Linked DNA regions of Arabidopsis thaliana. The protein of the gene in region 1 interacts with the protein of each later gene in a pairwise test. Each region holds a gene or a part of one and is shown on either strand. Other genes may lie near its edges.

Region 1 (4,911 bases):
CGCTTTCTTTGCCACATACTTGGGTCAAAAGAGAGCACTCCAAAAATATATGATCTGTCATTTGAAACCTAACTATTCCTGATAAGTCTAGGTTCATAGTCTAAAGTTCTTGGCCCTCATTTAGGTATAAATAGTCTAAATTTAAAGTATTTAAGCAAAAACAATACTGAGAAGAAAAAAAAAAAAAAAAAAAAAACTACGGTAAAATTTCTAGAAATGTTTAAGAAAAATCTAACTAAAATCAAAAGAATAGCGTATTAAAATACTAATTTTATTGGATTAACTTAATTTGATGAAAATGTCTCTTAATATTTATGGCGATATGTATGTTGGTTGGACTTTGAAATTGTTTTTATAGATTTAATAAGATGAACATTTTGTTCTTGCTTGAGAGTGGCTGGGTACACAATTTTTTTCACTTTGTTCATGCTAAAATTCAGTTTTGTCTTCTTATATTTACATCTAAGTTTATGTTTGATTATCTGAAACCCAAATTATCAAGTATTTTACGATTTTTTGAAATAAACGAAATCTGTTTATTTCCTTATTCAAATTTTATAAAATTTTGTAAGAGTGATTTGATTGAAAATGGACAACATTTGGAGACATTTTCAAAAAAAAATGTTATAAAAGGTTATTTTAAAATGCTTTCAAAAATATCAATATAATAAAGAGCGTGATTATATTTTAATTCAGAATTATTTAAGTGATCGAAAATATCATAAATTTTGTATAATTAGAGCATTTGTTCTGATATGCGACATATTTTACTATAATTTTATAGGAACCATATAAATTTAATTTTTTAACTAATTCCAGTTGCACATTTGTTTAGATGAAAATGATTTGATTGCTGCATGATATAATTTATTTACATTTAAGCATATATTTTATTCTATTTTGATGAATTGTGTGGTATTTTCGTACTTAAATTTTGATATATTGTATGTAATTGTACAACATACTCAATCATATGTTATTACTTCTAATAATTTGAATATGGACATACTCAGAAAGGTATCAAGGGCTCTTTCTCTAGCTATTGTTTCTCATATAATCTTTTCAAAATCATATATCATCACCAACTATACTCATCATTCTCGGGTACTATGAGCTCTAACTAGTGGAATGGTACTAGAACTTTGACACACCGTCTAGTTGAGATTATAGAAATTAAAGATTATGTTATATATAGTAGAAACAAAGTAGGCCAAATTCTTATAGAAAAGAATAAACAAAATTAATATAAAAGATAAATGAAAAAACGGTCTTGAATTATAAACAATTTGCTAGGTGTGATTCAACATTGTCTTTATTCAATACTTGTTGGGTCATAAACATTCAAATTGCATATTATTGTTACTCTAGTATTCAAATTGCATATTATGTTTTATCTAAACTAACTTATATATTTATTTTGATAAACATGTCATATGATATTAAACTTATTTTCAATTGATCATCTTCTAAGTTGATGCATTTTAGTATTTTATATTCAAATTTTGAGATCTTAGTATGTAATATATTTTCAGGTTTTTACTATTCATCAGTTTGATGATGCAAATATACATAGTACGAATAAAATGAGTGAAATTGTTTAATTATATGATCAGGAAGAAAAAATAATATTCCAAAATCCAAATTTTAGTGGGTAATTCTTAGCACAAAAACAAATTTTGTTTCCAAATATATCACATATTTTTCAATGTTCCACAAATAGCATTAATTGTTGAAATTTGTTATGAATAAGAATATGTTCTATAACATTATATGAATTAGAATTATCAATAGATAAAGTGTGTCAACTCAAATCGCTAAATTGTTGAAAACAATTTAATAATATATTCATTTAATATATTCTCATGTCAATATGATATGATTAGATCTATTTAGTGAGATCTTATTTAATTGTTAATTCTAATAAAACAAAAATAGTGATTATATTACTAATAAATAATATAATTGTTTAATCTTATTTTATGGAACTGTATTTCTCAACTTCAATTAAATACTGTACCTAAACCTAAAATTAAATATGCAATCAACTTGATTAATAAAAAACAACAAAATGGGGTAAGAAGTAAACAACGTTGTTAAACAAGACACGCGCTCACCAGTCGCGAGTTTGGCAATAATCATGAAATGAGCTTCTTTAAAAAAACTTTCTAGTAGATAAATTAAACAATTAAAAATCTCCGACAAGATTTAACAAAGAACAGATAATATCTTCTCCGCAAAGACAAAAGTGAAAGCGAAGAAGAAATCCTCCACGTGTCATTAGCATCTTTTAACCTGAGCCACATGATACTAGTTTCTCGAAACCCCTCTTTACGCTTTTTCACCCAAATTTTTATAAAAAGAAAAACATTATGCTTACGTGGCTTATCTTCTTCTTGCTCTTTTAAAGTAACCCCTTGACTCTGCTCCTTTCATAAACAACAACTCTCTCACCAATCTCAAAACAATTCTCTCTCTCTTTATTCTTCTTCTTCAGCTTCAGATTTCAGATCTTAAATCTTCAAGTCTTCTTCTTCTTCTTCTGCAACCATGGCTATGCAGGTTTGAGATCTATCTTCTTTGTTATTCTTTATGCAATCTTGATCTTGGTTTTGTTACTGTTGTTATGTTTCAAGTCTTGTGGAATCCAGACAGATTTAACCTAAACTTAGGTTTATGTCCGAGAGAAAATAGGTTATTTTGTTATCTAATTTCAAGTTTAATCTCTTTGTCTGAGAGAACTTGGAACTGAAGATTATTCGATTGTGGCAGGTTAAAAATTGTGTTAATAGACCAGGCGATTATGTGGGATATTATGGTCGGTTGTTTTAAAGAGAGATTACTTCTTTCTTAATGTATTGATCCGTATTAGGTAAGAACATGTCTCTAATCCCCTAATTATTACTGGTGGTCTACCTCTTCTAGTTGCGTATTAATTAGTTTTATTAGACTCTTTGTAACATTTAATTACTCTTACAATATATTAAGAGACTAATTGTGTTTTCTTACTTTGTGATTATAGGAACGTTGTGAGAGTTTATGTTCTGATGAACTTATATCTTCCTCAGATGCCTTTTACCTCAAGGTACTAATTTTGTTTCTTAATCTCTTGTTTACTCTTGATTGGTTTTGAACTTAAATATGAGGTTAATTTAGGGTTTGTTTTGTTTATAGACAAGAAAGCCTTATACCATCACTAAACAAAGAGAGAAATGGACAGAAGCAGAGCATGAGAAGTTTGTAGAAGCATTGAAACTCTATGGCAGAGCTTGGAGACGAATCGAAGGTGTGTGTGCTTATCTGACTTTAGAGAGTCTAATGCACATTCTAATCTAAGTTTGATGAAGATATAAGAAAACTACTTGGACCCTAGTAATGAGTAGAGATCTGACTTTTGTTGGTTCTTCTATGGAACAGAACATGTTGGAACAAAAACTGCAGTTCAGATTCGAAGCCATGCGCAGAAGTTCTTTACTAAGGTTTGCCTTCTTGCAGACCCTTATACATGAAAAAGTTTCAACCTCTTCGTGTTAAGCAAGGTCTAATTCAAGTTTTTCTTATTAGGTTGCTCGCGATTTTGGTGTTAGCTCTGAGTCCATTGAGATCCCGCCTCCAAGGCCAAAGAGAAAGCCGATGCATCCTTACCCTAGAAAGCTTGTGATTCCTGATGCAAAAGAGATGGTATACGCTGAACTAACCGGATCCAAGCTGATTCAGGATGAAGATAACCGATCTCCAACATCGGTTTTATCAGCTCATGGCTCAGATGGATTAGGTTCCATTGGTTCAAATTCACCTAACTCTTCTTCAGCTGAGTTATCATCTCACACAGAGGAATCATTGTCTCTAGAAGCAGAGACCAAACAGAGCCTTAAGCTCTTTGGAAAAACTTTTGTAGTTGGTGATTACAACTCTTCAATGAGTTGTGATGATTCTGAAGATGGCAAGAAGAAGCTATACTCAGAAACACAGTCTCTTCAATGTTCTTCTTCTACTTCAGAAAACGCTGAAACAGAAGTGGTAGTGTCGGAGTTCAAAAGAAGTGAGAGATCAGCTTTCTCTCAGTTAAAATCGTCGGTGACTGAGATGAACAACATGAGAGGGTTCATGCCTTACAAAAAGAGAGTAAAGGTGGAAGAAAACATTGACAATGTAAAATTATCATATCCTTTGTGGTGAAGTGTTCGTTTGTGTCAAGTCAGTTGTGTAAACTCTTTTGATCTCAACATCAGATTATGTGTATAATGTCAGAGTATTAGGGAAAGTTTTTTTGGATTAGATTCGTAAGATCACTCCAAAGTTTCGTGTCTTTCCATATAACCAGTTAGAAATTGAGATCCTTGTACTTAAACATTTTTATTTGATCAATCAAATCTTCTTGATAACTCTAAATTGTTGTACATAATAGTAGTCTCTATCAAGCATTTCATTCGAAAGGATTAACAAAAAAGATTAGGTTTACAAAAAATACATCAAAAGCAAATGTTTGAAACATAGAAACAAGTAATGCATCATAAACCCTAAGACTAGCTTCAAGTCTCTGTGACGGTTTCACTCTGTTTCAAGATCTTCCTCGTACGGTACTCGTCGACACAAAGGACACGACCTCTGACGCTTAAGCCACTCAAAGATACAATTTTGATGGAACAAATGGAAACAGTCAGGTAACAGAATGATGTTATCATCATGACTCTCCGAAAAGTCCTCCAAACAAATCGAACAAGTGGTTTCTTCTTCATCTCCCAAATCAGTCAATTCCATTGTTTGTTCCTCAAGCAATCTTTGAAACGTATCTGTCGACCTAACAGCAATAGACGAGAACATAACATCTCTTGTCACTTCCACGTATAAGGACACACTAAAAGGTTGGGGAATATGAGCACAATCCAAAACGATCCTTTCGCTCAACAATCG
Region 2 (7,727 bases), on another chromosome or scaffold:
CAAGCAAAGAAAAAGACAGACAACAACACATACCTCAAATCTTAACTAATTCGACATAGTAAAAAGACAAATCCATCTATACAATTATCAAGGAACCAACTTTTTATAGCAATGTTGTAAAATGAAAGATTTAAGATAAATTACCCACAACCGTGTTCCATGTAATAAGGAAGATTCGACAATAACGTCTCATCAATATCGAAAATCCAAATGTCTTTCCCGTCACCGTTAGATTCGAAGCTGCTCGCGTAAACCTTAGCTTCTTCGGAGACTCTCTCCACATCGACGACGTAACCTTCACCCATCAGGTAATCTTTCACGTAATCGGCGCATTCAGCTGGAATGGTTTTCCATGGAGCGAGATTGTTTGTCTCCGCCGCGAATCTCCAGCTCGTGCAATGTAGATTGACATTGTCGTTTATGTTCTTGAGCTGGGTTTCGAAGATCAATGGTCGCGCAATGAGATACGAGCTGGAGTTTTCATTGGAGAACGCCAGAGGAATCAAGGAGAAGAGAATGAGATTCACGAGAATCCGCATTGTATATCGCCGGAAACGCCGGGAGAAAAAAAGTTGAGATTTTTTCAATTGGGTCTTCAAGAGATTCAGGACATAAGCGAAATCCGAAGAAATATCAAAGAGAAGAGGAGATTTTCCATTCTCTAATGATGAGGAAGTGGATTATAAGAACCCTAGAAACAGTGAAACATTTCCTCTCAAGGTCCTTTTTTCAACGGAGAAATGAGGATTCTCGGAGAAAAGTTTCTGTTTCTTTTTGGGCAATGGAAAGGAAGAGAGACAAAAAAGACCAAAATACCAAAATGAAAAATAAAGGGCAATGGTTTTGTGTTCTTATTTGGAGGCAAATTAACGGATGGATCCGAATATTCGTTTACAAGATGATTAAGGTTTCGTTTCGGTTTATATTTTTGATTCAGCATGTGTGTAGTAGTAGTACAAAGCAAAACGTCTTGCCGTTTATATATCCACAAAAACGCTACACAGTTTGGCTTACTACTATCGTGTAGACCTCCATTCCATGATGGCTGTGTAAAGAGTATAATTGGGTAAAAGGTTCTTGCTATGCAACGGTGAATCCGTCATCGGCGATGTGTTGTGCTCCTTAAGCCACTCCTCTATCGCATGACGGTCGTATGTGTATCCGTCTGCTGCAACGCACGGCTCGTTCATCACGTCCTGCATTATACCACACAAGCTCACACATTTTCACCACAACACACTGAGATGAGATGTTTCAACATTGAACAAGGTTTTATATAGAGTTTACCTTAAGTAATGGGCAGATGAAATGAGTGGGAGGCTGTGTCGATACGCCGGAAAATGAGTTCCTTGCCTTTTCAGCTACTTTCTTTAGGTTTTCGAGCGCTGGAAGAATCTGATCTTTCAAATCAGGTCTATCTTTCCCGCGTAGCTCTGTACAACACAAAGCTAATGCGGCCAATTCCCGGGTTTCTTCAATCGGCCAGTTACCGGCTTTCTGATCTAAGATCTTAAGGAACTCATCATTACTATCCATTGCGCTCTCAACGAAATGTGTCAATGCAATAGCAGGTTTTGCTGTGAGAAGCTGAAGAAGAATCATTCCAAAGGAGTAGATATCTGATTTCGATGATATCCTTCCAGTGCGCTGATATTCCGGATCAATATAGCATAACGTTCCCACGGGGCTTGTTTGTTTGTATATAGTGAATTTAGTTGATAGAGGATCGACTTGAACCATCGTTGAGAGTCCCACGTCTCCAACTTTGCTGACAAAGTTGTGATCAAGTAAGATGTTTGCAGGTTTAAGATCACGGTGAATGATTGGTTTAGGCTTTGATTTGTGGAGGAAGACAAGAGCCGCTGCAACTTCCCAAGCAATCCTAAACCGCTCAAACCACGGGAGTGGCGGACTGTTGTTGACCTGGAAAAGTCTGTCCTCCAAGCTACCGTTTTCCATGTACTCATAAACTAAAGCACCTTGCTCCGGGCACGCTCCTAGAAGGAGAACCAAATGTGGATGCCTAATCTTGCTCAAGATTTCGAGCTGCAAATTAGAGAGGCCAGTGAGATAAATGTAGACTCTTATCCACAAGAATTGAAATTAAAATCAGAAAACTTCCATATAGTGAAAGGCACAAAATCTCAAACAAAGTTCCTTAAACCAAATTTGAGCTCACTTCCATACCTCTTGTTGGAATTGTTTGGAAAGTTGATTTTCAGCTGACTGCAAAACTTTGACAACTGCAGTTGTATGATGCAGATTACACTTGTAAACAGCTCCGTAAGCTCCCATTCCGATCTTCAGTTCTTCTGAGAATGATGAAGTGGCAGCCATAATTTCTTCCCAAGCAAAGTGCTGATATTGCAGCTGAGGAGACCCGAGAGTGCCCTCGAGCTTCTCTTTCTCTTTAGTATCACGTGCGGATTTCCTTTCGGCTTCTCTTCTCTGCGCAATTTCTCTCTCTGCTCTTTCTCTCATGCTCTCTGCATCTCTCCTTGCCTTCTCAAAATTCTGCTTTTCCTTTTCTGCTAACTCTCGAGCTTCATACTCCTTCAGCTTTAGCTCTTCAAGCTTTATGGCTTCTTCTAACCGACGTTGGTTAAGTTCACCAAGCTGAAACATTTTCAGAAAAGCATTGAGCACAATTTAATAAGTTTCATCAAATGCAAAGATATATGATATTATGAGGCCTTCACCTTTCGAGAAGCATCAAAGGTTTCGGTTTGAGCCACAGCATACATTTCTTGAACGTGTCTAAGCTCAGCTCTCAACTTCTCAACCTCAAAGTTTAGGTTTACCTGAACAAATAATCTTATATTATTCCGATTCACAAGACAATGTCGAAATTAAAACTCCATTTTATACCTGGTTGTCTGTATAGGATTGTTCACTTAGAGCATCAGACATGTTGGAAGCTTGTTGAGAAGCCCGAGAGTGTGTAGTATCGACACCCATGCCACTCCAACTAAACCTAGTACCAAAATTCCCGTATTCACGGTTGCTCGAAGAAGAACTCATAGCTTCTTTTCTCTCCTCATAATCTCTACGCCGAGGAGTCCAACGTGATGTAGTATCTGTGCTGCTTCTATTGATACTTGAAACATCTCTAGCTTCCTCTGCATCCAAAGACATGCACCTGGTTTCATCCGAGCCAACAGAACTCGTTTCCATTGGAACTGATGCCTGTCCTGCAATTGCAGGGAAATGTTGCATTCTCCTGACCGGAAGGGATAGAGGACGAGATTGAGAGTCATGCGCACTTGACATTACATCTGATGAATCTAGAAGAGAAAATGGGGTAACAGAATTAGATATACACACCATTTCTAGTAGAGTATTCACACAAATACATTGATGAGTCATGGACCTGAGGTGGGACCAGAAGAACCGCTTGAAGAATTTGTTCTCTCACTACCATCTTCTCTTATAGTAGCATTTCCGTCTGAGTCTGATGGTCGGACGCATGACAATTTACCTTTTGAAACAACATAGACTGTACAAAAGTTTGGCATCAAAGCTGATATCACCGAGCAAATATCAGCTTTCCTGGAATTTTCAAAACAGATTCATTGGTACACGGAATAGAAAGAACAAAGGTCGAAAGCTAGCAGCAGGGTGGTAGTGTACCTTGAGAAAAAACTACGGGATGAGCCTCCAATGACAATTCTGTCTATTGAATCCCGAGTCACTTCTTCAGCTATTGCGGCTGCCACATTATCTGATTCGATCACAAGAACTTCTACTGCAACCTTTCATTAAGGTAATTCAATGAGTTCATGTAACCTTGAAATTTTCATTAAAGAAGAGCGTAAGATATCTCATTATACCAAAGAAAATACCTTTCTCCGCACGAACAGTTTTGTGTAAGGTTTAAGCATTTCTTCAGACTGCCACAGTATTTCCTGTCTATATGCAGTTACTACATCATCTCGTACCTCGGAAATCGGGATTGCATTTCCCACTTGAGAAGGAGCAAGAAATGTACATCAGGCTTTTTATCAGTTACAATAAGTCTTGATTTTGTTTTACACAACAATACCAAATAGAAAAAAGGGAAACACAGGAAGAAGTCCTGAGTACAAGAAAGAAAGAAACAGAAATACAAGGCATAGTTGGAACTTTACTTGGTGTAGGTACAGAAGTAATCATTGGATGGATGTGAAGCAGCTTGAAGCCAACATTTCCTTCAGTAGCAAATTTTTCGATCGCCCATGTAACTACATATTTGCTTTTACTGCTCCCACTTAGAGCCACAACGACGGTACGAGATGGGGGAGGAGGAGGAGGAGGAGGAAGAGCAAGCTTGTCTGGTGATCTACTCATTGTTAATCTTTTGTGTTCTTGTTTCTATTGACCCTGCACACTACAACCATTTCAGACACTGCAAAACAATGTTCTAAAAAGAGTGTTTTGTTCCTAAAGTAGAGATAACATGAAAGAAAGGGAAAGCTAAAACTCTCCAGTCAGTGGGAATCAACAGACAGTAATTATATTTGAACTCACATAGCTGAATGTTGAATATCAACTCATCAAACCGAAAAGGCAAATAATAATAAGTATTGACAGAATCTAACGGAGGTATACCGATCATGAGATACTCTTAATAGCGTTGAAAGTCAAATGTCTCAGAGTCTAATTTGGACGACCAAAAGGATCGTAAAGCAACAACACTCAACGACCATCGAAGCTAACAAATAGCTAGCTTCTTATAAAGATAAAAAAAAAAACTCAAACTTTCCAATAAAAATGTCAACTTTGAGCACAATGCAATTGCAGAGAATTCGAAAGGTTATGAAACATTGATCAAGTCAATCAAAGGGACCATCTTCAGGGCATAGAGTTAAACAAGAAAACCAGAAATTGAACCTACCTGGTAAATAAAGGATGCGACTTTAGTCAAACCCAATACAAAAATTGAGAGAAGAAATGGTGGAAGCTTCCATTTCACAGAGCAATCAATTTCAGAAAATAAAGAGAGCAGCAGAAGAAGAAGATGAAGACCCACGTTGGTGCTGCTAATCTCAGATACAAACAATGGGTTCTTATAACCAGAGAATCTAAAAAAGATTTGAAAAGAAGCATCAAAAATAATAAGAAAATGAGACAAGTTGGTCATGTTAATGGTCAAAGGAGGATCAGTCCTGGGTATATACTCTTTTGTTCTCTCGCCTGAATTTTCTTCATTATCAGAGTGACAGAAGGAGAGTGTGTTCTAAAAGAAAGAAGTTTTCTCCAACCTTAGGCCTTGACTATTAGTTTAATCATAGTTTATCTCTTAATTCCCTAATTATTTGGTATTTAACTACATTCCTCAACGCCATTATTATATCGAGTTTGGCCATAGTTGCACGCATGATCTATGTCTTCCTCACGTCTTTTTGTCTCCTCCCCTTTATGCATAGTGGAGTGGTACAAGACTTTGGTAGAGTTCACCTACAACATTGGTTCGCATTTGAACCGTGATTTGGCCGGTTCAATTTAAACGCCGGTTTACGAGTTTTAACCTCTGGCTGATTAAGTAACCAATTTTGGCAAAATCCAAAGACGAAGGCAAAACTCTCTGGCTGATCAAGAGGATTCGATTAGGCTCTTTGACCTTGTCAACAAAGACCTTTTAGAATAAAAGCATTCAAAGTATCTATAGAAGCTAAAAACATTAAAAGTTACTTATGGAAAACGAATTGGCATGTCATTGTTCCTTGATGATTGATGATAAAAGGTGGAAAAAACTCGAATTTTAAACTTGTCTTGTCTCGACGCTAAAATCTTCATCCCCTGTAGTCATTCATCATGAAATATTCGATCAGGACACATTATTTTCAAATTTCAATTATCTAATATCTCTATAAACTTAAAATCTATTATTATTTTCTTATGTTGATTCTCCTTTTTTCCGTACGAAATGTCTTCCCACTTTCAAATTGGTTTTGGAGTTTTCATGCTCTTGAGTCTAGTATTCGTATTACTATTGTGTATTCTGAATGTAAACGACTAGTGTTCAGGTCAATATATCAATGATTATTTTCTCCATTCTCGTTTTGTTTGATGCAAAAACTAAAGAACAAATTCTGTCAAAAATATAAGAATATATATCAATATTGTGTTGCACTACATAATATTCTTTTTACTATGAATGGCCATCTTTTTTTAAGAAAAAAATGGACGAAAAAGGCAGAGTTTGTCCAATGAAAACTGGATAAATGACATTAGTAAATAGCAAATGACATATAATTTATTTATAACTTATTAATAGGAAATTTGCAAATGGGTATTTTCTTACAATTTGTTTCTTTTGTTGTGTGTGTGGTCAAGATCTTCTTTTAATACATGATCGAGTGTAGAAACTCTAATTATATGGCGATGATGAAATTTGATAGTGGAAGAACTTTTAAATATGATAATTTACAATGTTGAATTAGATACAAATATCTTAATTTATTAATGGCTGAAATGACTTGATTTATTAATTACATAAAGGTTTAAATGCAAAAGTAACCTTTGTGTACACATTTGTTTTGAATAGTTTACAAAGTTACTCTAAAATAATCTGCTTTGTAATATGAAAATATCATTTTTTGGTAAAGAATGATATTGAAAACATGTTTGCAAAACAACAGACTTACCTGTCAGATACATACACACATCAACTTAAACATAGTTTGACCACACTAAAAATGCCTATGTTCGTTGACATTCACGAACAAAAGAAAAACTATTTACCCATAAATTCCGTGAAATTTTTGTCTAACTATGATAAAAATCCATTATTTTGGATTAAAATTCAAATAAAATCCAATTGAAAACGCTACCGAAACTCAAAATGAAAAAGACCTACAAATATGTTTTGGTTTATATAAACCCATACATATGTTACACGGAAAAAAAGAAAACTACTATTACGTACTGGTTTTAGACTTTTAGGTTTTTAACCACATCCAAATTATCCAAATTGAATATGAAATTTTATGATTTGATCTATGTACACCTTTAGTTATAATAAAGCATAGTCTCTTTTTTTTTTATTATGTTTTTATTTCGTTTTTGGAAACTCATATGCTGACGTACCAAATAAATTTGGGATATATAATCCAGTATTGAAACAATTATTATTATAACAACAGTGGAGTAGTATTTTAATGCATTTAATGGAAAAAAAGAAAACAGAGTAAACGGATAAGCGTGTCGTGGAGAAGAAGGACCAAAGCAAAGTAAAGAAAGTCATATATTCCTGAAAATCTATAAAAGACATTTCGCATTTATCCACTTCCTCGATTCAATCAAAACTGCTTCAAGTAAAAAGCCTACGAAATAGCATCGGACCAAAAGACAAACTCACCGAGTAAACATACGCAACCTGTCGTGTAAGTAAAAACAATTTGATAGTGATCTCTCTATGTTTGGTGGAGGAAGAGGGCCTATGGGTGGCGGCGGAGGTATGTTACGCGCCGCCGGTCGTGCGATGACGAGGACCGGTGTAGCCAACGGTGGTATTCAAGATCCCTTTGCTTCTTCATCATCATCGTCCACGTCGTCTCCGGCTGGAAACGCCTCTGTTTCGCATGTCCAGAAACAGAGATCTTCTTCTTCTGGGTCGAATAATCTGACGTATTCCGCGGCTTCTGGGTTGTTGTTGAATCTTCCGGTGGCTGCAACCTCCGGATGGAGCGGCGGCGGTCCTTTTTCCTTTGTTAATTCTGGAGGTTATGATGATTTTGAGTGGGTTT
Region 3 (4,737 bases), 8.2 Mb from region 1:
CAACACGACAATGAGCGATGCGGAAACGGTTCATGAGTTTACTGGAAAATTATTGGAGCTAGTGTTTCGTATGAAGTCTTGCGGGTGGAAGGTCGAAGAAAAAATATTGGTGAAGAAGATTCTTTCCTCTTTGCCTCCAAGATTCGATAAAGTCTTAGTGGAGGTTGCAGAAAAACTTTCTGTTAATGTCATTATCGATTGCTTGTTGGTTCATGAATACAATATGAGACCGGATCAAGAGTCTTTTCAAGAATCTGTCATTCAGAGTGTTAATGTGGAAGAAAGTTTTGAAGCAGAAGCTGAAATATTATACTCTTTGAATGACATTACTCAGAGCCAAGTGGCAATGATGGAGAGACAAAGTGAAGTGTTGTCGTTGGTGCAAAAGAATCAAAAGATGCTAATGCAGATGCAAAAACAAATGATGATGTTAATGCAGCAGAAAGATCATGTGTTAGCACACTCCGAATCTTATGAGGAGGAGATGACAAAAGTGATCGAGTCTATGGAGAAACACTACTTGAAGAAAAAGTAGTTTTGTTTATTTTTGTTTGGTTTTGGTTTTTTCTTTGTTTGGTGTTCCTGAAAGTTGATTAATTACTGATCATGGATTCATTCATAAAATTCGTCTTTGCATAAATTGTGGACTTCAACTTTTGGTAATTGTGAGACTTCTTACTCGAAACAGAGACTTATTATATTTTGTCACCTCTTAAAACAGAGAAAAACAGAGAAGTATCGATTTAGAGATCAAAAGAATGTGATGTGTGCTGTTATTGTGGATGAAGAGCATTTGCATAATGTTCTAATTTGGTAGTTTTTTTCCTTCAATAATATATGATATAGTGAGCAACATCTTTAGAATATGTTTAGTAAATTTTTGTAAAACAAATTGACCTACCTCACCAAAAACAAACTTCATTGGACCAGAATTAAGTAGCCATTAGGATCAAATCAACAATAATATACTATTTATGTGATGAAATATGAATCCCCATCATTGTCCTATATGAATCAACATTTAATATATTTTAATTAGTCGAATCTTAAAAATGAATCCCAGTCATATTATCTTTATGTATGTAGAAGAAGATATAATCAACATTAAATAGATTATTATAGTACATCAACATGAATACCCCATCTTGTCATATTATATGTATGTGGGATAGAATCAACATGAATCCACATTCAGTATTCAAATTAGAAATGATCGTAGGCTATGACTCTAAAGTTAATTTTAATTTATATGATGAATGCGAGTACCCCCATTATAGATTCATACTATACATTATTTTATATGATCAAATATGAATCATCATCATTGTTCTCCTATACTTGCTCTTCATTCCGAATGTAGCAATAGAATCTCCATATTGCTTTTTACCAATTCTAACCATAAACAATTCATAGATAAATGCATGTTGGGTAGTGCTTTGTCTACTAGTAATTAATAACATTATCGATTACAATATTTGAGCAAATCAGGCAATCTTTAAATAAAAATATGTATACGATGACTCTTCCGTCCAACTAATATATTGAAAATATTATAAGATCCAAATTATTTCATTATTTATATCAAACAAAAACAAGAAATAAATAAGACTTGTCTTTGTTCATGTAAACAAGACCACTTTGTTGTTTGTTTCTCTATTTTACAAATTTGTAAATTATATTTTTGTTATGTTTCTTTCCACATTTTTATTAGGTCATCCAACTACCCACCTCCCCAAAACTATTGGAGGATCCAAGTCCTCTCTCTCTCAACCATATATCTTATATTTCCTTTGCAAAAGGATAGCCTTTATTATTTAATACACATAGATTCCATTATTGTTATGGCTACCTCATTCTATTCTATAAAGCATACATATGAGAAGAAGAAGCAAAATATAGACTATGTGAAAGATAAATGAATATTTCATATTTGTGAGACAAATTAATTAGATTAGAATTAACATTTTGTAGCTAGTCCATATTAGTGATAAATTTCCACTTATAAAGACATATTTTCCTCTTTTGTTTTTTATACGTAAGCTTGTCTTCTTATTGGCTAAAAGTAGAAAACACCAACTTGGACAACATCATTTAAATTATAAAACCCTCCAATAAATAAAACTTGGTTTATCCAATCATCTTATTTCTCTGTGCTCTCCACCATTTTACATAAACCCCAAAATCTCTCTTCATCATCATCATTCATCAACATCATCTCTCTTTCTCTATCTCGCTGTCCCTCCTTCTCTTTCTCATTCATTGCAATGGGCAGAAGATGCTCACACTGTGGAAACGTAGGACATAACTCAAGAACATGTTCTTCTTACCAAACAAGAGTAGTTAGGCTCTTTGGTGTTCATCTAGACACCACAAGCTCTTCTCCGCCGCCTCCTCCTCCTCCCTCGATTTTGGCCGCTGCAATAAAGAAAAGTTTCAGCATGGATTGCTTGCCGGCATGTTCCTCCTCTTCCTCTTCCTTTGCTGGTTATCTCTCCGATGGTCTCGCCCATAAAACACCTGACCGCAAAAAAGGTTACAACTTTGACATATTATGCCACTTTCCGAGTTTTTTTTTACAATAGGATAGTGACGTTTTTTTATTAATCCAAAAGTTCCGGGTATTAGGCCCATAATCGATTTGTATCGGAGATCAAAACATGTTAAACTGGTCATCGGTGGGATTGGTTTTGCCATAAAGATTTTGTACGTATATCCAAGTCGGACCATTTCCTAAAGCATGCAACCGCTATATATATAAGAGTAGTCAAGAAAATGATGTGTCTATAACGCGATCTTTAGCCTAGGATTTTGTTAAAAGTTTTTCCAAAAATAATAATTTGTGTTTCCGTAATTAGGGGTTCCATGGACGGCGGAAGAGCACCGGACGTTTCTAATTGGATTAGAAAAGCTTGGAAAAGGAGATTGGAGAGGAATCTCTAGAAACTTCGTCGTCACAAAATCCCCGACACAAGTGGCAAGTCATGCTCAAAAATACTTTCTCCGGCAAACTACCACTCTCCATCACAAGAGACGCCGCACCAGCCTCTTTGATATGGCAAGTAATTCCAATCTTTTCTCTATACATGCATGACAAAAGAATTTAAACTCTTTGTATCAAACTTTTATGTATTAAATCAAAATGTTTCTGTATCCAACAAAAGTCACATCTTCAAAAGTTCAAACAGAATTTTTATGTTGTTTTAAAAGTTTTCTTTCCAAGTTTTTTTTTCCCACTTAAAATATCGGAATTTTCTAAACCAAAAATTAGTCAAGATTTTAAGTTTAATCTAAGCTTTATTTTAATACCAAGTATATATGAACATATAATTTCTTGTAGAATCCGAAGAAAAAAATAGAAAATAATCTTGAATTGACAAATTTTTATATTCAACAGGTTTCGGCCGGCAATGTTGAAGAAAATAGTACTACTAAGAGGATATGTAATGATCATATTGGGTCGAGCTCAAAGGTTGTTTGGAAACAAGGATTACTCAATCCTCGTCTTGGATATCCAGATCCGAAAGTATCAGTATCCGGCTCGGGTAACTCCGGTGGACTCGATCTTGAGCTGAAGCTTGCGTCCATTCAATCTCCTGAATCGAATATTAGACCTATTAGCGTTACGTGAATCTATATAACACGTTATGATCAGTTTCATTAGAATAATTCAAATGTTTACATATATAATATCTTATCGATCCTATCTAATTTGATTTTGATTTAACGTTAGTTACTTTGATAATTTCGTCGATATTGTTTTTTTGGTTTTTTCATTGTGAGATTTTTTGTCTTGGAAGTTGGATCCATACATATTTCTGTAAAACTTTATATTTAAGGTATATATATCTAGCGCTCATAAAAGTTTCAATATTCCTATTATACTTTTAATAAGAAAGTTTCTTACGATAGAATTAGAACGGATAAGACAATTTTGTACATAGTACAACTTGTTTGAAGTTTCTTGTTTTCTAGTTCATTAAATATTTCAAGATTCGTTTTTAAAAAAAATATTCTTTTCGAAATGTGTTTCAAAAATTTAGAATACTTTTAACATATCTAAAAATTTAGAATACTTTTAAAATTTCGTTTTTAACAGAATACTTTCACATTGTTAGTTTTCTGTTAATAAAACAATAAACACGAGTTTCAAACATAATGTAAAGATAACTTTAAGAACTGATATTGAGTCCACAAGAGCTCAATAATATTTAACACTGAATCCACTTTAACACAAAACCAAGGGTCTTTCTCAGAATTGTTATAATTTTGTTGTTGGCGAAAAAGAAAAAAGAAACAAAAAGGTCACATTTTTTACATTTCTATATTTAGTGCAAGTTGTTTAATAGTGACACTACTATTGGAAATGACCCAAAGTGACTGGACGACAAGATATTATATTATTTATGATTTTGATATATACTTCCTCTTTTCACACAAAATTTGGTTTAAAACATTATTTTGTAAGAAAATATGATCATTTTATATTTCCAATATTTTTTATCTAATTTTAATTTTAATTCTAATATTTTAATTTATTATTTACGAAGAGAAATCTATTTAAAATAACGAACGATATGTAATAGAGATTTATATATTTTTAATATGTATGAAAAATGCTAGAATAACATTTTTGTGAAGAGAATTTAAAATAGTCAAATAGTTTTTTTTTTTTTTGTCGATTAAATAGTCAAATAGTTAAATGACAAAATTCTGTGAGAGAAATTAGGTGAATGGTTA

The links.
Region 2: the proteins of RVE2 (region 1) and AT4G25160 interact in a two-hybrid assay, tested with the Arabidopsis thaliana proteins (one large-scale study listed by BioGRID).
Region 3: the proteins of RVE2 (region 1) and AT5G56840 interact in a two-hybrid assay, tested with the Arabidopsis thaliana proteins (one large-scale study listed by BioGRID).

Annotation. Positions count from the first base shown.
Region 1 is NC_003076.8:14,750,609-14,755,519, reverse strand, and holds RVE2 (Homeodomain-like superfamily protein), read left to right. Parts: upstream 1-2,431; 5' UTR 2,432-2,547; coding exon 2,548-2,559; intron 2,560-3,019; coding exon 3,020-3,082; intron 3,083-3,171; coding exon 3,172-3,283; intron 3,284-3,414; coding exon 3,415-3,476; intron 3,477-3,561; coding exon 3,562-4,176; downstream 4,177-4,911. Other genes in the region: AT5G37250 (RING/U-box superfamily protein), read right to left, coding at 4,549-4,911. UniProt on the Arabidopsis thaliana protein: Positive regulator for cold-responsive gene expression and cold tolerance. Part of a regulatory feedback loop that controls a subset of the circadian outputs and modulates the central oscillator. Negatively self-regulates its own expression.
Region 2 is NC_003075.7:12,902,344-12,910,070, forward strand, and holds AT4G25160 (U-box domain-containing protein kinase family protein), read right to left. Parts: upstream 5,254-7,727; 5' UTR 4,874-5,253; intron 4,360-4,873; 5' UTR 4,327-4,359; coding exon 4,128-4,326; intron 3,965-4,127; coding exon 3,843-3,964; intron 3,753-3,842; coding exon 3,631-3,752; intron 3,550-3,630; coding exon 3,371-3,549; intron 3,285-3,370; coding exon 2,869-3,284; intron 2,802-2,868; coding exon 2,700-2,801; intron 2,617-2,699; coding exon 2,188-2,616; intron 2,047-2,187; coding exon 1,288-2,046; intron 1,197-1,287; coding exon 1,017-1,196; 3' UTR 837-1,016; downstream 1-836. Other genes in the region: AT4G25150 (HAD superfamily, subfamily IIIB acid phosphatase), read right to left, coding at 145-539; AT4G25170 (Uncharacterized conserved protein (UCP012943)), read left to right, coding at 7,397-7,727. UniProt on the Arabidopsis thaliana protein: Functions as an E3 ubiquitin ligase.
Region 3 is NC_003076.8:22,978,525-22,983,261, forward strand, and holds AT5G56840 (myb-like transcription factor family protein), read left to right. Parts: upstream 1-2,113; 5' UTR 2,114-2,264; coding exon 2,265-2,532; intron 2,533-2,855; coding exon 2,856-3,055; intron 3,056-3,394; coding exon 3,395-3,628; 3' UTR 3,629-3,901; downstream 3,902-4,737.